3 linked regions of the Styela clava genome follow. The protein of the gene in region 1 purifies or fractionates together with the protein of each later gene. This does not show direct contact. Links are inferred from orthologs where the notes say so. Each region holds a gene or a part of one and is shown on either strand. Other genes may lie near its edges.

What was found.
Region 2: the proteins of DNA-directed RNA polymerase III subunit RPC2-like (region 1) and DNA-directed RNA polymerases I, II, and III subunit RPABC3-like purify together in Homo sapiens (affinity purification with mass spectrometry; 5 studies listed by BioGRID and IntAct, with this or other methods). This does not show direct contact. The link is inferred for Styela clava from reciprocal best matches to the Homo sapiens genes POLR3B and POLR2H.
Region 3: the proteins of DNA-directed RNA polymerase III subunit RPC2-like (region 1) and GPN-loop GTPase 1-like purify together in Homo sapiens (affinity purification with mass spectrometry; 4 studies listed by BioGRID and IntAct, with this or other methods). This does not show direct contact. The link is inferred for Styela clava from reciprocal best matches to the Homo sapiens genes POLR3B and GPN1.

Annotation. Positions count from the first base shown.
Region 1 is NC_135255.1:15,753,826-15,761,257, reverse strand, and holds the start of DNA-directed RNA polymerase III subunit RPC2-like, read right to left. Parts: upstream 3,118-7,432; 5' UTR 3,063-3,117; coding exon 2,886-3,062; intron 2,186-2,885; coding exon 1,838-2,185; intron 1,564-1,837; coding exon 1,326-1,563; intron 412-1,325; coding exon 185-411; intron 1-184. UniProt on the Homo sapiens protein: Catalytic core component of RNA polymerase III (Pol III), a DNA-dependent RNA polymerase which synthesizes small non-coding RNAs using the four ribonucleoside triphosphates as substrates.
Region 2 is NC_135255.1:11,092,881-11,100,407, forward strand, and holds DNA-directed RNA polymerases I, II, and III subunit RPABC3-like, read left to right. Parts: upstream 1-4,783; 5' UTR 4,784-4,886; coding exon 4,887-5,024; intron 5,025-5,624; coding exon 5,625-5,774; intron 5,775-6,352; coding exon 6,353-6,520; 3' UTR 6,521-6,784; downstream 6,785-7,527. Other genes in the region: nuclear pore complex protein Nup214-like, read left to right, coding at 2,203-2,362, 2,647-2,760, 3,144-3,174; mitochondrial inner membrane protein Mpv17-like, read right to left, coding at 6,919-7,036, 7,227-7,279, 7,415-7,527. UniProt on the Homo sapiens protein: DNA-dependent RNA polymerase catalyzes the transcription of DNA into RNA using the four ribonucleoside triphosphates as substrates.
Region 3 is NC_135251.1:19,539,988-19,548,006, reverse strand, and holds the start of GPN-loop GTPase 1-like, read left to right. Parts: upstream 1-4,776; 5' UTR 4,777-5,850; coding exon 5,851-5,958; intron 5,959-6,495; coding exon 6,496-6,696; intron 6,697-6,891; coding exon 6,892-7,008; intron 7,009-7,110; coding exon 7,111-7,251; intron 7,252-7,832; coding exon 7,833-7,979; intron 7,980-8,019. UniProt on the Homo sapiens protein: Small GTPase required for proper nuclear import of RNA polymerase II (RNAPII). May act at an RNAP assembly step prior to nuclear import.

The DNA.
Region 1 (7,432 bases):
AGTTTTTTTTTCACTTTTCGATCCAAATTTGAATGTTGATTGTGAATTTTCTCGCCCAGCCCTGTTAATATTCATGAAATAAAATATTAAAAATGAGATCTTTTAAACTTATCTTTTTTGCAACATCACAAGTAAAAAACAGATACAACTTTACAAAACTAAACCAATATGAAACATGTCTAACCTTGCAATGATAATTCCAATCAATAACAGGCACATGAGCAAGTAAAGTTGTTGCCAGCCAGTCTCTTGCTTCATCGTTTCGTGATCGTCTCGGTGCTCCCCACATGCCACGATTTCTACGGATTTTTTGACCAATATAACGAGTCGCTTGAAGTTGAGTAAAAACTTCGAGTCTGTGACATTCTTCGATGGAGGATGCAAATAGAGACATGATGGACTCATCGGTCCCTGGGATAAAGGTAATGTAAACAACAACTATGGGACCTCTTGAAGTATATGCACCAAGGTGGCACACAACCTGAAATCAGGTTGTGTACCAGGTTAGGGTTCAGGTTATGCAACATCTTGGTGCACATACTTCAGGAGTACCCAACTCTGATTATATTTACTTATATAAGTACAAAAAAGTGATGCTGAAAAACATGGACACAAAGGCAAGAACGAAGTAGTACAGGTCAATACCACAGTCTTCACGACTATTGAGAACCCAAAACCGCAACAAAGTGCACAATTTTTGATGACGTCATCGCACACGAAAAACAAATCCCATAGAGCCCACAGAAATTTTTAAAATAAGAAAAGTAATAACCTTCTACCAAAAAATACAATCTTGAACCACTGAAAAATTCAAAGCAATTATTGAGAAAAGCAATTTTTTCATAATTATATGAAAAAAAATACCAACAGGAACAACAACAACATAATAACGAAACAATATACACATACACTTCGTGTCCAAGAATATATGATTTTAATATTTAACCAGGAGAGAAAAGGGCTCAGATTGAGATGAATTAGTCGCAAGGCGAAGCAAAGACTTTCCTTCGATTACCAGTCCAGGTTGCATATGGGATTATTCAATCAAGTAATTGCGCAATATGCATAGTCCATAGTTTAACATCCATGAATTAATTGAAATCAGCATATTTTTCAAGATTTGTAAAAATATGTAAAAAGCTCAATTAACAAGCATTTCTGCAACTAAAGTCTTAATAAAATTTTTGTGAGAATTGGTGGATAAAGATCTTGGAATGTTTCAGTTCATACTTTTTCGTTACACATTTACAAAGTTTGAAAATATAATGTCGACCATTCCGACTCATTCGTGACTCCACAGTAAAATTTTGGACCTAGTGCCTTACCTATGAGTTGCATTATAGCTTGGTCACTTTCAACACCCATTGCTTTAAAAATAATACAAACAGGAGTGTCTTCTGTCAGTGCATTCTGTTGTAAATAAAATTTTCCCTTCTTTTGCAAAATTGTCGCTCGAGTCTTTTTCTCGTGAGTGGAACTGTGCACGGAACAACTCACCAAACCCTTTCGATCTTTCTCACAAATCATTCGGTTTTTGGACAGTTGTTCTTGAATCAATATGACCTAAAATTCAAAATTTTATTATGAAATTTACCGCTTCCTAATTTTATACATTGCATATATAAATAGGCTATAATGCCAGGTAGCCTATTCATGAAGCCATATTGCAATTTCAATATTTTTTTATGAAGTCAGTTCTCAATATATAACCAGGTTTGTTTTATTTTAATCAGAGTTTTTACTTCACTCGATACACCTTTATCTCGTAAAGTAGCCTAACCTTAGTCTAGTAATTGTGAAGCAATTATATTCAGCCATCATTTCATTTTTAATTTACCTTTTCAACCCCTTTGCAAACAAAATAACCGCCTGGATCATACGGACATTCATTTAGCTTTGCAAACTCAACAGGATTTTTTCCAGCTAAAACACAATTTGAACTTTGTAACATGATTGGCATCCTTCCAATGGGGAGGTGTTTTCGAATAATTCTCTGCTGCCCTCTTGTGTATTCAACATCAACAGTTATCGGAGCAGAGTAGGTAAGATCTCGAAGCCTGCACTCGTGTGGTGAAATAGGACGAGTGACATTGAAACTTTCTTCCACGTCAGGTTTTCCAACGTGAATATCGAGATATTTTAAATACCAATTTGGATCAGCATCACTTAGCACTTTGTCATTTGCCTGTAAAATAAAACATTCACAAATGAGCAATTCTTAAATGAGCCAAAATCAATATTGCAACATTTAGAAAGTCGAATAAACTTAACCTATTTGTTTTTGTTAAATTGTGTTGAATGATAAAAATAATAGATAGATTCAGATATTTTATCCCGTCATGCAAGAATCAATTGAAAGCAAAAGTAAAACATAGTGAACTAAAAATAAATAGAAAACATTGATTCACAGCAATTGACGCAGGGTCGCGAAAGACTCAATGAGTCATCCAGTCAGCGAAATGAAAAAAAAAATAATTTCAACATTTTTACATGAGAACTTTATATATTTAACCCTAAACTGGAGATAAGACCGTAAGTTTCAACAAATATATTCTAAATAAGATTGAACTGAAATGGATAGGATAGGATTTACATATTTATCCAGGGGGAGAGGAAAGCCGATAAGACGGCTTATCCATATGGCGAACCACGGCCTCTCGTCCGGTTACCATTTCAAGTCGGGTATGGGATTAGTTATATATATATATATATATTGTTTGTTTTCGGAGGCATGGACAATCCTCTCGCACATAACCATCACTGCATGGGATTCGAACCTGCGAACCCACGCAGAGTAATTAGAGGTGCGGTAGCGAGCGTATTCCTAACGCTTAGCCCGTTGAGCCACACCGCCGCGTAGAAAATCAATAATAGATTTCACCAACCTGCATTATTTTCTTGATCTCCACGTTAATAAAATAATTAAATGAATCGATGTGTTGCTTCACCAAGCCTTTCACTTTGAGAAATGCCGGTAATATTTTCCATTTGTCTTTCACATCTGAAAGCGGCTTATTTAAATCCGCATATTCGTCGTCTTCATTATCAACCTCTTTCTTCATATTCTGGCCTTTGTTATATATGGAACAGAAAATACAAAAGCTACCGTGTGCTATCGCCACTGTCATATAAGCAAAATGCTAGCAAAATCCCGCAGCAAAATATACGATGTCATAAAAACGTGTTTCCACTTTGCGAAATATTTTTAATTATTAACCACAGAGATGTAGAATTGCAAATTGAACGTTATTATGTAGCATTCAATCACACGAAGCATTTGGGATCAAGGGAGAAGTACAAAAAACTACATTTATCAAAATAAAATAACGTATTATTGAGGAAAAAATGAAAAGTTTGTTAAATTGACACTAAATTTGAACAAGATCTGCCTTTGGGTCTCAAAAAATATTTTGGGTATGGATTTACAACTCAGACATCTTTCCAATCAAAAAAAGAATTTGACAAAAAAATTGATCAGTTTTCTAACAGAATAATTTCAATACAACGCAACAACGTAAATTTCCTGAAAATTCGAAAAATCGTTAAATTGACCCAAAATATGAACAAGATCTGCCTTTAGGACTCTAAAAAAATTTTGGGTATGGATTTATAGCTCAGACATCTTTCCAATCTAATAAAGAAATTCGAAAAAAAAAGATCAGTTCTCTAACAAAATACTTTTAATACAACGCAATAACGTCAATTTCTTTAAAATCCGAAATATCGTTAAATTGACCCAGAATTTGAACAAGATCTGCCTTTGGGGCTCAAAAAATATTATGAGTATGAATATCTGAATTCATCATCTTTCCAATGACATAAAGAAATTGAAAAAAACTCGATCAAAATACCGCAATAACGTAAATTTCTGAGAAATTCGAAAAATCGTTAAATTGACCCAAAATTTGAACAAGATCTGCCTTTGGGGCTTAAAAAATATTTTGAGTATGGATATTTGAATTCATCATCTTTCCAATGAAATAAAGAAATTGAAAAAAACTCGATCAGTTTTCTAACAAAATACTTTTAATATAGCGCAATACCGTAAATTTCTTAGAAATTCGAAAAATCGTTAAATTGACCCAAAATTTGAACAAGATCTGCCTTTGGGGCTCAAAAAATATTTTGAGTAGGGATATTTGAATTCATCATCTTTCCAATAGAATAAAGAAATTGGTAAAAAACTCCATCAGTTTTCTAACAAAATACTTTCAATATAGCGAAATAACGTAAATTTCTTAGAAATTCGAAAAATCGTTAAATTGACCCCAAATTTGAACAAGAAATGCCTTTGGGGCTTAAAAAATATTTTGAGTATGGATATTTGAATTCATCATCTTTCCAATGAAATAAAGAAATTGAAAAAAACTCGATCAGTTTTCTAACAAAATACTTTTAATATAGCGCAATACCGTAAATTTCTTAGAAATTCGAAAAATCGTTAAATTGACCCAAAATTTGAACAAGATCTGCCTTTGGGGCTTAAAAAATATTTTGAGTATGGATATTTGAATTCATCATCTTTCCAATAGAATAAAGAAATTGGTAAAAACTCCATCAGTTTTCTAACAAAATACTTTCAATATAGCGAAATAACGTAAATTTCTTAGAAATTCGAAAAATCGTTAAATTGACCCCAAATTTGAACAAGAAATGCCTTTGGGGCTTAAAAAATATTTTGAGTATGGATATTTGAATTCATCATCTTTCCAATAGAATAAAGAAATTGGAAAAAAACTCTATCAGTTTTCTAACAAAATACTTTTAATATAGCGCAATAACGTAAATTTCTTAGAAATTCGAAAAATCGTTAAATTGACCCAAAATTTGAACAAGATCTGCCTTTGGGGCTTAAAAAATATTTTGAGTATGGATATTTGAATTCATCATCTTTTCAATGAAATAAAGAAATTGGAAAAAAACTCGATCAGTTTTCTAACAAAATACTTTTAATATAGCGCAATACCGTAAATTTCTTAGAAATTCGAAAAATCGTGAAATTGACCCAAAATTTGAACAAGATCTGCCTTTGGGGCTTAAAAAATATTTTGAGTATGCATATTTGAATTCATCATCTTTCCAATGGAATAAAGGATTTGAAAAAAAATTCGATCAGTTTTCTAACAAAATGCTTTTAATATAGCGCAATAACGTAAATTTCTTAGAAATTCGAAAAATCGTTAAATTGACCCAAAATTTGAACGAGATCTGCCTTTGGGGCTTAAAAAATATTTTGAGTATGGATATTTGAATTCATCATCTTTCCAATGGAATAAAGAAATTGGAAAAAAACTCGATCAGTTTTCTAACAAAATACTTTTAATATAGCGCAATAACGTAAATTTCTTAGAAATTCGAAAAATTGTTAAATTGACCCAAAATTTGAACAAGATCTGCCTTTGGGGCTTAAAAAATATTTTGAGTATGCATATTTGAATTCATCATCTTTCCAATGGAATAAAGAAATTGGAAAAAAACTCGATCAGTTTTCTAACAAAATACTTTTAATATAGCGCAATACCGTAAATTTCTTAGAAATTCGAAAAATCGTGAAATTGACCCAAAATTTGAACAAGATCTGCCTTTGGGGCTTAAAAAATATTTTGAGTATGCATATTTGAATTCATCATCTTTCCAATGGAATAAAGGATTTGAAAAAAAATTCGATCAGTTTTCTAACAAAATGCTTTTAATATAGCGCAATAACGTAAATTTCTTAGAAATTCGAAAAATCGTTAAATTGACCCAAAATTTGAACGAGATCTGCCTTTGGGGCTTAAAAAATATTTTGAGTATGGATATTTGAATTCATCATCTTTCCAATGGAATAAAGAAATTGGAAAAAAACTCGATCAGTTTTCTAACAAAATACTTTTAATATAGCGCAATAACGTAAATTTCTTAGAAATTCGAAAAATTGTTAAATTGACCCAAAATTTGAACAAGATCTGCCTTTGGGGCTTAAAAAATATTTTGAGTATGCATATTTGAATTCATCATCTTTCCAATGGAATAAAGAAATTGGAAAAAAACTCGATCAGTTTTCTAACAAAATACTTTTAATATAGCGCAATAACGTAAATTTTTTAGAAATTCGAAAAATCGTTAAATTGACCCAAAATTTGAACAAGATCTGCCTTTGGGGCTTAAAAAATATTTTGAGTATGGATATTTGAATTCATCATCTTTCCAATGGAATAAAGAAATTGGAAAAAAACTCGATCAGTTTTCTAGCAAAATACTTTTAATATAACGCAATAACGTAAATTTCTTAGAAATTCGAAAAATCGTGAAATTGACCCAAAATTTGAACAAGATCTGCCTTTGGGGCTTAAAAAATATTTTGAGTATGCATATTTGAATTCATCATCTTTCCAATGGAATAAAGGATTTGGAAAAAAATTCGATCAGTTTTCTAACAAAATGCTTTTAATATAGCGCAATAACGTAAATTTCTTAGAAATTCGAAAAATCGTTAAATTGACCCAAAATTTGAACAAGATCTGCCTTTGGGGCTTAAAAAATATTTTGAGTATGGATATTTGAATTCATCATCTTTCCAATGGAATAAAGAAATTGGAAAAAAACTCGATCAGTTTTCTAACAAAATACTTTTAATATAGCGCAATAACGTAAATTTCTTAGAAATTCGAAAAATCGTTAAATTGACCCAAGATTTGCCTTTGGGGCTCAAAATCAGAATAGTGTTGTTATTGAGAGACATGCATGCCATGGTATAAATCGACCCATCACCGATACTCACCTACATAGTATATATTAGCTGAAAGTAGTCTATAAGAGAAATTCTACGCAAATCCATGAGCTTTTATGTTTGTCCGGGAGAAACTCTAATCACTGTTCTTTTTATCAGCTTGGTTACTTGCAACCCCACATGTATAGGAACAATCTCTCCATTATGTTTGATTGCGTTGAAATAATATGTTTATATACTGGATAATGTCTTCGCTTTTTCATGGTTAAATTATATTTAAAATTTAAATAGTCACAGATAATTTACAATTCGATTTACTTTCATTTCAGGTGAGACAAAACAAGAATTTTGCAGCATTGCATTATAAGCTGAACTGGTGATTTTATTTTCGCAAAATGGCTGCGCACAAAAATTGTTACGTTGTTCCGGTATACATGCAACATGAACGAAAAAGAAGTACAAATCATTGATTAGTAGAGATGAACAGTATCCGAAGAAATAACCCATGTGCTTTCGTAACAGTGAAATAGTTGCGGCGTTCCACTTCACGGCCATTTACATTCGAATCCGAATTGAAAAAAGAAATGACTCCGACTCTAGACTCGGGTTTGCAAACAATTTTGACCCCGACTACAGCTCCGAACTCTAGAAAAATCCGATTTTGATAACAAAATTTTTAGCGCATGTTAGCCTTCATTAATTAATTGTTAGAAAACGCTT
Region 2 (7,527 bases), about 4.7 Mb from region 1:
GTTGAAACGGTCCAATTGGAAAAACAATAGGACTACATAGACTTGTATATAATATTGCATTGTTGTTTGGAGACTAAGATCTGATTCTTGAAGACTAATTAGATAATGAAGTAATCAGGGGCGCAGCCAGGATTTTTCCCACTGGGGGTTACGGTGAAATTAAAACATTACACCAAAAGTGCTATTCACGAAGACGTACTAATGCGTTTAATAAACTAAAATGCATGGTCGTTCACAGCGATATTCCACAGCTACGTGTAGCCCGCCTCTCTTTGCCTGACGGCGTTTGGTGAATATTTTGCAAGTCCTATTTCAAACATCGACCATTAATCCGTAGTCACCGGGTACCAGCATTTAGAAATAAAACAATAAAAATCGCGAAAATTAATTTTAGAGAGAACTATAACTTGCTGATGTCAGTAGCGTGATGATGGTTTATACGTACAAAAAACACGCTCGCATGTAGCGCCGAGCAAATGCATGAAATGTGAAACTATTACTTGGAATTTATTGTTAATCGAGTTGATTTTTTATTATCATTCAATGATTATTAACATGCGCCGTGATTAGTGGCGGGTAAAATCGTATTTTTTAATAGAGTTATTCGAATATTTTCAACGAACACCGAATAATAGGTATTGTTATTTTAAACATTAATTTGGATGTCGACTGCCGAAACAACCTCTGTGACAATAAATAAATTTTTTTTTCGGATTTTACTAGAAGACTGAAAACTCCGTAACAATGCAGGGCTTTTTATTTCATAGTTTTGTAATAATCGAAAGCTGCGAAGAATCAAATTTTTTGTCTCCACTATTGTTTCGGCGGCTGACATTCCAATTAATGTTGTTAAGTTATATTAAAGCACTTTTTTATTCAAGTATTAATTCTCATGCAACGGCGGATATCGTAGTTTGGTTTTTATATTTCGGACAGAATTGCGAGTTCACATCGGCGGAGATGTTAGAGACAAATATTAGGGAGTGCATTCACAACACAAATCAATTTTATTCTCATTTTTATCTTCTGTGTAGGAGTTGTATCACGGTCCCAATTTTAAACGAACAATATTATCATTACTGACCCCGGGAGGCGATATTTGTGAAGCGGATAGTTGACATTTTTATGCTTTTAATTTTAGATTGCGTTCGTGTTACTTTCGTATTGAATAATAACTAATAGCTCTGCAAATTGGTAATCTCTTGAATACTCAGTGTTGAGTATTTACGTAACTCAGCTTTGGGTTAAATCACTGATACTAAACACATGAATAAATCGGCAATAATGGAATTTCTACATGGTCAAAATGATATATATTTCTTCCCAATATCTCGAGAAATTTTCATAAAATACATTATTTACCTGTCCTACTTATCTGGTTCGACATTTCTAAATTCACAAAAACGGTGTTCACACGCTTTATGCAAAATTAGGAATTGAAAAATATGACGCAAAGAGGCAAGGAAAATTTTTTTTCACATTTATCGTTTCTACCAGTTAGCGATAGCCATCGGTAAATTCTTACCCGTAACTCGTTGTAAATTATTGTTAATAAATTCTATTTTGCTTTTTAATGCGCTGTGCTTTGTATTAAAATAAAAGTGATTTAGTTGGGAAGAGAAAGTCCTTAAATTAGCTTATGACCCTTCTCTTCTTTTAAGCGCCCATAACGGCGGTTAAATTGTTTCATGTCTGTTTCATGGAGAGAAGGGAAAATATGCCTTCCGGATTTGCAATCAACAATTACAAATTCCTAATTATTCTTATCAGCGCTAACTAAAAAAGATAACATGTCTTGTAGACGGAATAAGTCTGTAGATGTTAATTGCATTATGGTGATAACGCGCAGAATAATATCGCTTGGACCGCGAAACCATGACGAGCGATCGTAAAACTAAGCCTTTGCTTTTTTGTAGATGAAATTCACATCAAATTTTTTCTCAAACAGAGAGGGTTACACCCATGTAAAACCGCTGGCTGCGCCCCTGGAAATAATAATTATATACACATTTAGAAATCGATCAACTTTAAGGAATAAGTAGATCTATACAATATAGTTGACATGAAATTTTCTGAGATTAACACTGAATAGTTGAGGTAGCCAATGATGAGAAATTCTGACAGCTTGTCCTATTACTTTTATTCCATTGCTGCTGCTTGTTATATCCTGGATGCACTTAACATTATTGCTAATACTTTTAGGTTTTGGAGCTGCTCCTGCTTTTGGATCTTCTGCTACATTTGGTTCTCCTCCAGCTTTTGGTTCTACCTCTGGTGGAAGCACATTTGGAGGTGGATTCGGTTCACAGCCTGCTTCAACTGGTGGAGCTTTTGGACAAACTGCCAGTGGTGGTTTTTCATCGTAAGTAAAGGGCATTGAAGATGATTCTCTAGTCTCTACTACCAGTCAAATTTGTGAAGCACAGTTCTTATATGTGGCAGTGCTCAATACATATTATATTACAGATGATAAATGACACTTAATTCCCTTTTGGCCATACAGATCCATGAATGGCAAAAACTAAATAAACTATTATGACCAATTTTTCACCAGTCCATGAAGATAACTTCTACAATGGTTAATAACTTGTAAGCTAGTTTTGTCATATTGTGTTTTTTTTACAAATACTCAAACTCTTTTTTTAGCTTTGCCAGTAGTGAAACACCTGGTTTTGGTAATCTTGCGAATCAATCTGGAGGATTTGGAAGTCCACAGCAACAGCAGCCAAGTAGCTTTGGTGGGTTTGGATCGAACACACAGTAAGATGGATTTATAATTATGCAGTCTGTAAGGAATAAAATAATAAATAGAAACTCTATCAGTGCATTGCACACACATAAAAGTTTGCCATAAGTCTTGTTCCCCCAGTGTTTTTTTTTTTTGTAATCTATCGTGGACAAAAATTGCACAACTACAGTATGGAAAATGTTTAATGACCACTTGCAAAGGATACTTACGTTTCTAAAGAAATTTTTTTATTAAAATCAGTATTTGCTACCTAATAGTGATGTGTTTTTTCACAGCTTCACCTATAAATTTTTTTGTTTGAAATGGTTGATAACGACCATGCCATGACTGTAAAGAAGTCTTAAAGACAGTATTTGTGGGGCTGTGTATAAACAATCATGTTTCTTCATTTCAGAAAAAGCCCTTCTTTTAGTGGCTGGAGATAAATGATCTATGGAAAGGTGTACATTTTTGTCCTTGATGCTGAATCATGCCTTGTTAATAATGTCACTGGATCTAAAGTCGTTTTTCACAACGCATGCTACTATTGCTCCTGAACCTGATTGCTACTTTATGGATATGATGATAAAATAATGAAAAACAGTTAATTTATTAGTATAATGTTCATTTGTAAATGTGATAATTTGTTTCATTAAGAACAATAACTTAATATTGTTGGCTGAATTAAGATCCAAATAAATATCATCGGAAAATGACTGGAACGATGTGCAACTTAAAGTTAGTCATCCAGGAATAGTAACTCAACAAAACAAATTATGTACAAAAATTCACAATATAAATATAGTCTAACACTTAGACATATGAATAATTTTAGGAAAATGAGTATATTATAACTCTAGTCGTAATCTCAAGCAATACACGATTTGAATGTTGAAGTATGGTCAGCACTGGTCACATTTAGTTGGGTTGGCATATCGTCCTAATTGTTAGAATTATGCTACAGCACCCCAGATTACACTCCTTGGGTTCGAATCCTGTGGGGGATAATTATGTGCGAGAGGATTGCTGAACTCCTTACCGCCGAAGGGTGGTTCACGTAACCACTGATAGGCTATGGCTCCATTCACCATCAAGCCACTACATCTGAAACAAGTAACTGGCTAAATGATTCTATACCGACATGGACGAGAGGCTGTATCACACCATATGTTTAAGTCGTGTTATCTTCTCTACTCGGCGTGAATGTGTAAATCTTATATTTGGTGCTGTGTGGCATAACTTAAGAATTTTCATGAAATGTTTTTTGATTTGACGGGCAGTAAGGTCTCAACCCCCAGTGGAATGACTGGTATCGGAGTTTAAATACAAATTACCACCAGATGTATTATATTGTGTGGACACTATTTGTCTGATGAGACACAAGAATTGATAGACATTTTATTAGGTCTTCAATGCTTATAATTGTTACATCGCGAGACACTTGTATGTATTTGAAATGAGCATTGATGAGATTACAAATCCGGCTTGATGATTGGCTTATTAACTTGGGTGTTATGAACACTATTGCGCCCGCTTGTGTAATAGTCTCGTCCCCAATGAGGAAATAAGTATTTGGGGCAGCTCAATTATATGGAGATTGGATAATCACTGCCTCTCTGTTGCTATTTAACTTGTTCTTGCTACTTCGAGGAGTCCTCTTATCTTCTTGAACAAATTATGAATAAAGGTTGTGAAACCCCTCTAAAACAGCTTATGACTGAAATCGTCATGGCGGTAGGACCCGCTTTTCATTAATTCTATCAACTATACTTTGTTGCACGATAGTATATTTTATTTATCTGTGCTTTCATGTATTTACAATAATTAGTTTTTACTTATTACCTAATACTACTACACTGGGCTATACACGCTATAAGAGTCCCTGACCTGAACTGGTAACCGGACGAGAGGCCGTGGTTCGCCATATGATTAAGCCGTCTTATCGGCTTTCCTCTCCCCCGGAATAAACATGTAAATCCTATCCTCTTCCGGAATATATGCGATTCTAATTTTAACAGATGGGAACCGATATATCCGTGTAGGAAAATTTTTCAATAAATTGTTTGGTACTCGCGTGCGTTTATGTCGGGCCTGGCTGTTCTGCATTTCTGGGTTTCTGTGTATCGTCTTGCGTTTTAGTTCGTGTGGTCGTTTCGAAATGGCTGGAGTGCTATTCGAAGATATTTTTGATGTGAAAGATGTTGACCCCGAGGGAAAAAAATTTGATCGTGTTTCTCGACTTCACTGTGACAGTGAATCTTTCAAAATGGACTTGATTTTGGATGTAAACACACAGGTGGGTCTTGATTTACAGTAAGGAATGCCTGGATGCAGGACTGTGGCTGAAATAACTAAAATCGGCTTGTGTCTGTAGCAGTCTAGTCATAGCAGCTCTTTTAAACAGCATTCGTAGCTAATTTGCTTTTTCGCTATGAAATTATTAAATACATTAATATGGTCTGGTACGGTACCGTATAGTTTAGTACCACATGCACTTCTAGTTGGCCTGGCTTAACAATTTTTGCATATGTCGATCCTAACCCTCACCTGACTACGTCACAGTGGCGTAATAAGGCCCACCAAAGTATGCGGATGGTCGCCCAAAACGCGCAGACAATCACCCGAAATCGAGCAAGCTATTTCTCTCGTTTTCTTGTCACAACGATCACGATAGGAGAGAGATCGTACTTTAGCGAGTTCGTTATCGGATTTTTCAACTTATGATACTTCAAGGCGAGAGGCCAAAAACATTTGGGCGAGTTCGAGTCGTTAATTTTCAGAGTGCTCGAGTAAATTATTGACTCATTTATTTCCAACACTCGACTTAAAAAAATTTCGAACTACACAAAAATGCATGTCTGTAATCTCAGAATCTTCACAAGATTTAAATGTTCAGGTTTATCCAATGGAACTTGGAGATAAGTTTCGACTTGTTCTTGCAACAACTTTACATGAAGATGGGGCACCAGATGATGGAGAATTCAACCCATTGTGGGATCAGCAACCCACCCGTGCAGATCAGTTTGAATATGTCATGTATGGAAAGGTAAACTTTCTTAATTATTTTTCAGGTTCCCATGCGGGTAAATGATACTTATATTGTTGTGTAGTACTGTTAACAATGATGATTAGTGGATCATTTGTTTTTGTTGTGACATATGTAGAACATCATTCTATTGGAAAAATATGAATCACCATGCAAGCACTGCTGGTGGTTGGATATTCAATTAGCGTTTGTACACGTACACATATAATAGTATTTTAGCTATAGACGCCGTAAACTCAACCATCACTTTGTGTTTCACAAAATTACCTACCAATCCTTTGTGTTTGTAGAATGCAAGGGTGCTGTAGCAAAATTAAAAGATGACTATTCTATTTGATTCAAGAGTTTTGCTGCACACTACACATAGGATTAGTGTTAGTGTGCAGCAAGACTCTTCGAATCAGACAGCTGTGTTTAGTTGGGAATTTATGCTGCTTACTGATTAAATTGATTCAGTAAATTCAACGATATTTCATCCTTAAAAATAATGTTATGAAGATTAGTTTCTAATCAAACATGGTATTATTCATATGTGTTTTTAATTCTTTAATATATATTAAATCCCAATAAATTTTTAGGCATACAGGATAGAGGGGGATGACACTGGCAGCGAAGTTGCATCCAGACTTTCGGCTTATGTGTCATTCGGTGGCCTTCTTATGAGACTGCAAGGAGATGCAAACAATTTACACGGCATGACTGTTGATCAGAATGTTTATTTATTAATAAAGAAATTGGCATTCTGATCAAGACTGTAGCGAGCGATTCGTTGGTAATTCAAGGACAAAGAACTATCATCTTGACTGGCGATACATAGTTACAACAGTCAGGACTGATGAAGCTGCTTTGTTTTCTCAAGATGTAACATCAAGAACAAATCGATCAGTTTTGTGTAAAGGTTACTAAACAGCAGCTCCCCTATTTCCAAGTGGAGAAAAAAACTTGCGACGGTTTAACTATCTCAATTTTATTCTGAAGCAAAGTAGGAAATAATAATATTTAACTTCTGGCTTTGGGTATTGCGTTTGCACAGCAGCACATACATAATACTATAGGCAGTACTCGCAGCTTGGTCTCATCATCCTGATACTTTCTTGGCCTCCTAATGTTTCTAGCCAATGAGCAATTCGTCAACAGTAAAAAATCAGCATGCTTTCTTCTCTCTGCCATCAGCCACATAGACATCTTTATGAATTGTGCGATTAGCTCTGTTGCTCAAATAGGAATTCCAGAACAATGCGACTATTTGGCAGAAGAGCATTCTGAACAAATAATTAATATATCATTATTCATTATGCTCAATTCCCTTATTTTGCTACAAATTTTATATGCTTAATTTACTGGAGCGGCTATGAACTGTCGCACAGCCGCTCCAGTAAATTAACTCTGCCAGAAATCTTAAACGCTGCAGCTTTCAAAAAATATTCATTACTGAGTACTGACTAAACCCACCTGTATTGAAAAGGCACGATTCCAAAATTGATCGTTTGTGATGGAATCCAAACCTAAATTTAAGTAAAAAAAGTTGCAGAATAAAGAATTATTTGTTGAGTTTTTGGATCTCTGAAGGCTAAAATTTCACAATAATATCTGTCAGGATGTTGTAAGATCCTAAGATAATATTTCTAGGTAAAACCTACCATCCAGTTCATTTTGATAATTCCTGGAACTTCATTTTTAATTCTACTGATTGCAGTCGACAAAGATTTCCCATTAAGTAAAGTTTGAACAGTGAAGAAGCCGCAGAGCAGTG
Region 3 (8,019 bases), on another chromosome or scaffold:
AAATTTGCCAATAACAATAGCGTAGCATACCGACGGCAAGACTCGCATTCACATTCAAATAAGAAAGGAATACTTAAATAAATGAAATGAGTGCGGTTAATCTAATCTTTTGCAGTAGTCTACTGGTTTTTTTGGACACGTAGTGAACATAGCGATCGTTTCAATATTATGTTGTTGTTGTTCTAGTGTCCTTGTTCTTTGACACGTTTTGAAGAAATCGCTTTTCTCTTCGAATACTGGACCAATTGTTTTGAAATTTTCAGTGGTTGAAGATAAAATTTTTCTCCAGAAGGCTATTACTTTTTTTTCGCTATGACGTCATCAAAATTATTCCCACTGGGTGGCGCTACCTGCCCATATATTTGAGCATAGCTCTATTGTCTTTTTATGATCCGACAAAACAACAGTATTGAAATATAGTATACCAACCTTATTGCATTTTTTAAATATTATCATGATATAAATTCGAATGATTCAATAAAAAATAACATAATTTTATCATTATTTTTCAGAATACATGAATGAAGTGCATCTTAGAATACTATATGCTTTCTTGTCTTACGTTAGATAATTTATTATGGTTTATGATATTTTATGAGAATTATTTCCATGAACATTAAAAAAGATTTACCGTAATTTGCTTTGTCAAATCTTATTTATGGTCAAATAGATTTGTGTAGTTAATGTTTCTGCTTTGTCATCTAATGAATTTCTTCAAAAGTTATCAAATAGTGATATTTTGCGTATTGAATGAAGGTAACTATATGATGTGATCAATGCAGCTCTTGCAAAAATAAAATAAAAAAAAGTGCCCATCTCGGGTTTAGGTTGACTTCTAATCCCAACAACAATAACAAATTAGGCAAGCTTTTTCAGTCACAACGTTTCCATTGATATTTCTGAATTTGTGCGCGAACTCCGAGAACAGTCTTGCACATACAACATGGGCTACCCTGGCCGCCGACTCCCAGCACCCGATTCTGCAAAAAGATAAATCTTGAAAACAAGACTGTCACTAATGTAACACGATGTCATATAAAGCGCGGATGTCATGAGATCACAGAGAATGATAATGCTTTTTTTCTGGTTGACGAATAATAACTTTCTATCTCTGATACCACAAATGCTTGATTTGCTTCTCGAAACTGTCGTCCCTTCTTCACAAAAGTTGAAATACCGTATTCCTATTCTAGTACGATTAGAATTATTTCGGTACTGGCAAATAAATTAGAGCCAATTTGCCAAGAATACTGTGGTATCTGGGTATGGGCCTGAAAACAAAATAGCCAGATACCGTACGGAAAATGAGATAACAATACCTGGATATGGTGAACGTACATTTGAACCCACACATTTGCACCCGTATATCCGTGGGTTCAATCTATATGACGGTGCTAAAATCTATGGGTTAGGGTTAGTATGGGTTCAAATATCCGTAAAAAAAAAATTCCATAAGTGCAATTGTCGTGGGTTAAAATGTAATGGAACCCCTGAATATGATTATTACTCTGTCAGTAACTTACGGTACTGTGTCAGTTCACAGTCTGTGACATAAATACCGCATTTAAACGAAGGTAGCTTGATTTTAGAGTGCTAAGCTAACCACAAATAACTTGAAAATACGCGTAGTTTGTCGCAACAAACAAACGTTCGGCTTAAATATTTGGTCGCAAAGGGAAAGCTGAGAAGTCCATACCTCGTTACTCATGTGGAACCTATGACGTCACACAGAGTGGCATCTTTATGTTGACCCTCAATAATGAGATCGCCCAGATATTAATTGGTTTATTGGACCAGATATCGCCCAGATATTAATTGGTTTATTGGACCAGGGTTGCCATATGAAATACAATATTTAGTGTGTAACAACTGAACAATAGCCTATTACCTGTACTTAGCTACTTAACATTAGGATTTCCTGGAGCATCGATTTCCTTGTTTGTTACATTAACTCTTAACCATACCCAATAAGAAATAAGTGCAGTTTCTGCAGCTGCTCAGACAGATGTTCAAGCAGGGTTGTAAACATTGCCTCGTTTTTATAGTTTTGCGTGTTATTTGTCAGTTTACGTTCTGTTACCAAAATATAGTTGTATAACTCAATTTTCATTATGCCTGATATGGTTTATGTGAGCTTTCAGATTTAGTTTAATATTGCAATTGCAGTAACGATGTGATTAACTACGCTAAAATTACTGAATTAGATATCAGTGGTCCACCTGTGAGCGGCAGGGGGTTAGATAATTTTTTAATAAAATTGATGGTTTATAAATTTTAAAAGTGAAAAATTTTTCAATAGTAAAGTACGATATAGGGAGAATTTTTCGAGATGTGGCACAAGTTTAAGTAGAAACATATTGTAGGTATATTACATACTGACAGACTGAAGCTTGAAGCTGCACCCTGTATTGTATATATTGAATGGTAAAATAATGCTGCCCGCTTGATATTTATTTTACCTTCTACAGTTCTATAGGATCTTTACTTTCTATTTGTGTGCCTCACTGAATAAACTGGTGGCTCTACATCATCATCAGTACGTTGCCAAGGGCTTAAAATCTGACAAACCATGGGGCTTTTGTACTTAGTAAAATTGTTGTCTTTTTTATGTCTTGATTTGGCTTTTTTGATCGCTGGGGTCTGGCAATCCTGTATTGGACACGTCAGTGGACATAACGATCGTTTCAATATTATGCTGTTGTTCTTGATATTCGTCATGATTTTCATTAAGAAAATGCTTTTCTCTTCGATTACGAAATCAATTGCTTCGAAATTTTCAGTTTTATAGATTGATTTTTTTGCCATGAGGCTATTACAACGTTATAAATTTTGTATGAAATCTGATATTTCGTCCAAAATTCCGCTGTATTATTTCATCCATGGAAACACTGGCTGTCCGGTTTTATTCTGTAAATTTTTGCTACGCGAAACTAGGAACTTTTTTGAGGGTAGCGTCAAAGGTGAGGTTGCTTCGCTCTGGTTATCGTGTTTATATAGCCTATTTGCTCGTGTTCATAAATTCGAGAGCGTTGCTCTCTTGTTTATTATACAAACGAATGTTCCTGATCGGAATTTAATTCTTTATACAGTACGGCACACTATCCCGAATCCGGATTTGCGTCTACATTCCGGAAGAGCCAAAATATGAATAGGCGTCTGTGAAACCGGGGGCGTCGAGTCGTCTGCGAGCTCGATGCGTGAGAACGTCAGATGTCTGGATATGACGTCAAAGAAAGTCACGCACAGATCGGCAGTTCGGCACGGCTCTCGAATTTTGCTAATTTGATTTTCGTTTTTTACCGATGTATACTGACCTATATGGTTAGATATACGATGTATTTCTGAATCATTATATTCAGTCTACTGTTGGTAGTGCCTAATTAAAATAATGTCGCGTAAATGCAAACGTCTGTGAATAAAATAATGCGTTTCGATTAATACGTCTACGAGTCCAACTAATTTTATTATAAGTGTTTGTGACTACATGACATCGTTTGAATTGTCGTATAACGAAGTCAAAACGATGCACGATATCGAAGTTTTTTTTTTTCAATAGTTAAATTAATATCGATAGTGAAACTTTGTATGCCCGTTAATACCTGTAATCACAACAATTTAACATAGCATCTTCGTTTATTTAGAACTGAAACTTCCAGAACGCACAACGATTACGAATTACGATATCATTTAATAATTATATTCGAGATTTTTATTTAAATTTGAGCGTCAACAATCTATAGTAAAATAAAAGCCTCGATGATTAATTGGATTAAACTATTTTGCCAATTTGATTCTTGTTTTTCACAGACTACGCAAGTTGATCATTTGCGGCATACGAATGCATCAATGCGGCATTATATTAATTTGATTCTTGTTTTTCACCTATCTATTCTTGCATAAATCACGCAAATTAACATTTGCGGTATATGATTGCCTCGACGTGGCATTGAATTAAAATATTCTCGTATTCCGTATACTTCGAAGTTAAACATTCGCGACATATGAATGTATCGATGCCGCATTATATTAGTTTGAATCTTGTTTTTCATCAATCTATACTAGTATAAATTACGCAAATTGAACATTTGCGGCATATGAATACATCGATGCGGCATGATATTACATTATTTTGCTAATTTGATTCTTGTTTCTTGCCGATCTATTATTGTGTAAATTACGCAAGTTGATCATTTGCGGCATATGAATTAAATTATTTTCGTATAGATTAACATTTGTGGCATATGAATGCCTCGATGTGGCATTGAATTAAATTATTCTCGTATACCGGTACCGTAACTTTCGAAGTTAAACATTTGCGGCATATGAATGTATCGATGGTACATTATATTATTTTGAATCTTATTTTTTACCGATCTATACTAGTATAAATTACGCAAGTTGATCATTTGCGGCATATGAATTAAATTATTTTCGTATAGATTAACATTTGTGGCATATGAATGCCTCGATGTGGCATTGAATTAAATTATTCTCGTATACTGTAACTTTCGAAGTTAAACATTCGCGACATATGAATGTATCGATGGGACATTATATTATTTTGAATCTTGTTTTTTACCCACCTATATTAGTATAAATTATGCAAACTGAACATTTGCGGCATATGAATACATCGATGTGGCATTATATTAAGTTATTTTGCTAATTTGATTCTCGTTTTTCGCCGATTACGCAAGTTGCACATTTTGCGGCATGTGAATGTCTCGTTGCGGCATTAGATTAAATTATTGCTTTATGAACTAATTCATCTAATGCTATATCGAGGCATTAATTTTACTGTTTATCGATTGTGTGTTATCAAAATGTAATTTTTATTATCGCTGATCCATTTATTATCGTTAACACGCCATCCTATCTACATTGAAAATGAGAGAAACACGGCACGCCAAGGTTTACGTCGAGGAACGGCCGATGCGTGCCTGCGTGCGTCGATTGAAATTCAGTGACGTCACACGCCGTCAATCGTTTTTTGCTCATTTCTCTCGAACGCACCGGTAAAATTTTTTTTACATCGGTAGATCTGATTATTTTTTCACGAGGAATTCAATGGTGATGGTTTTAGATTGCGCTTTTTGTTAGTTTACTGCGCAGCTTCAATTTATCGATATCGGGAGACAAAATCCGCCAGACGTCCATCGAAGGAGGGATATTCGATCACCGTTAAAATAGGTTTCTCTAAAACGAGAGATTGTCTCTCGATCTGTAAAGTGTGTAAATTATTTATTTCAGAACCCTACTTCCGAAAACAGGACAGGAAAGCATGTATTTAACAGTACGGTACCGGTACCGGTAGTCTATTGTTTGCCGAATTACAGCCCAACTTAGATTTTGTTTAATTTATTATACGTTCCCCAGATAGGAATTATTTTAAATTTGGATATTTTTTGCATTTCAACACTAGAATTCTGCCCTGGAAAAATAATAGAGGAAGTACCGGTATGTTTTAAGTTTGTGTAAACAACGACGAATCTGGTACAGTACCGGTACCTGTAGGCTTCTAATCATGCGTGGTTATGGCGTTGGCTTTGTGGTGTAATTGAAGGTAGCCATGTCAGCTTTGGAGTTCGACATATTGCTGATTGGATGTAGAATAAGCAGCGTATGATAGATTAGTTAGACTATGTATGATGTTATTTAAATCTGTACCAGTAGATCCTAAACAGGAAATAAAAATGTACCTACGGTACTGTACCGGTACGGTACCTTGTACCGGTACCTAGCTGTTACCGGACGAGAGGCCGTGGTTCGCCATATGGTTAAGCTGTCTTATTGACTTTCCTCTCCCCCTGGATAAATATGTAGGCTAAATCCTATCCTAAAGGTTTAGAAATGGCTTCGGGTGGGAGTTCTACGTCTTCAAGTGAAAAGAATGCCGCAAAAGCTACGACAGTAATTGTATTGGGAATGGCGGGTTCTGGAAAAACAACTTTTGTTCAGGTTAGTAGTTACGGTACTTTACCGGTAGCGTACAGTAGTACCGTAACTCGTTGGTGATACGGCTGGTCAGTTACCGGGACGGCTTTCTCCACCATCAAGTTGCAAGTCCACGCATCTCAAAACAAATTTTCCGCCAACTGATGCCATATCTAACATGGACTACTGGACGATCTGACCATAGACGGTGGTTCACTATACACAGATACAGCCATATGATTAAGCTGCCTTCACTCCCTCACACAGGGTGATCAGAGGTGCGGTGACAAGCATATTACCAACGCTTACTGGCTTAGCATGATGCGCCGCACTGCCACTGCGCTAAGTAACTATAATAACTTATAAACGTCAACCATGGGGTTTCCACATTTACTGATTTAGGGCAATTCGCATCACTTTCTATAAGTTGTGAGTTATTCTTTTTTGAACATTTGATGCAATTCAGGTGTTATGGAGCACTTCCTTATGAGGGAGCCATTTTTCATGAAAGTATATCAAAATCATGCCATATCGTGTTTAAATTTATTTATTTTGTTTCAGAGATTGACTGCTCATTTACATGCAATAAAAAGTCCACCATATGTTGTGAATCTTGATCCTGCTGTTCACTCAGTTCCTTTTCCAACAAACATTGATATACGAGATACTGTTAAATATAAAGAAGTGATGAAACAATATGGGCTTGGACCAAATGGTGGTATAATGACTGCTTTGAATCTATTCACAACTAAATTCGATCAGGTGATTGCAATTTATCTTACATTCAATGTGAAAGTAGCAAACTGGAAATTTCTCGTTTTTCCGTGGAACTCCTACATCTTAGTAGATTCTTGCATAAAAAATGGATAGGTGAATAGGATATAAAGTTCAACGACTTTAGAGACATATACTCAATTGATGTGAGCTTTCCTCATTTTGACATCCATAAACTTTCAGGTCATGACATTCATTGAAAAACGAGCCTCTGAATGTGAATATGTTATATTTGATACACCTGGTCAGATTGAAGTCTTCACATGGTCAGCATCTGGTGCAATCATAACTGAAACATTGGTATGTTAGTATATTTCTATTCTATTTTTCATTTCAAAATCATTATCCTTTTTTCGACAACAAACACTAATTTAGTGTCTCTGCAATATATTCATTTTTTAGGCTTCAACTTTTCCTACAGTTGTTGTTTATGTGATGGACACTGCACGAAGTACAAATCCAGTTACTTTTATGTCTAATATGTTATATGCCTGTAGTATATTATATAAAACAAAACTGCCATTCATTGTTGTGATGAACAAGGTGAGCTTCTTTTTATCAGAGCATAAAATTATTTCTTTACTTCGACTTGTTATTGTAGCCTCTAGGCTCGATCTTGTCAACATAGCACTCTGTACTATGGATATTCCATAAATGGTATTTTTGAATCTGATTCATCTTCTGATCCTCTTGAAATAGGCTTAGAGAAAGTGAGTGTACTAGCGAATTGCATAGATATATATTTCTAAATTCTAAAACTGTGACATCAACTTATCACTTTTTTGAAGACTTAGGCATAATTCAACATGGTTTATCCAATTTTATCTACTCTCGTAGTGTGTGTAGGCTTAGGGTTAGGCCATAATTTTATTCTGGTTCTCCTTATTTTAGTTCTATTACGAGTTTGGGGACTGTCCGGGTTAGCCAAGTAAATATACTATACCCACAGGTTTCAGTTCTTTTTCACAACTTGATGTAAAATAGGCAAACAAAATTAGTGAACCTTCATATGGGTACACACACTTCTGGGCGCCCACTTGAGCTCTGTTAAATTTTATTTACCCTGAGTGGGGCTATGAATGGATTTGTGAACCAAACTAAAACAGCTCATCTATATATTGCAGACAGACATAGTTGATCATAGCTTTGCTGTTGAGTGGACACAAGATTTTGAAGCATTTCAAGAAGCATTGAATTCTGAACAAAATTATATCGGAAACTTAACAAGATCTATGAGCTTGGTTCTTGATGAATTCTACAATAATTTAAAGGTTTGTTTAATCAGTTTTACATTATTGCATACATCTATAT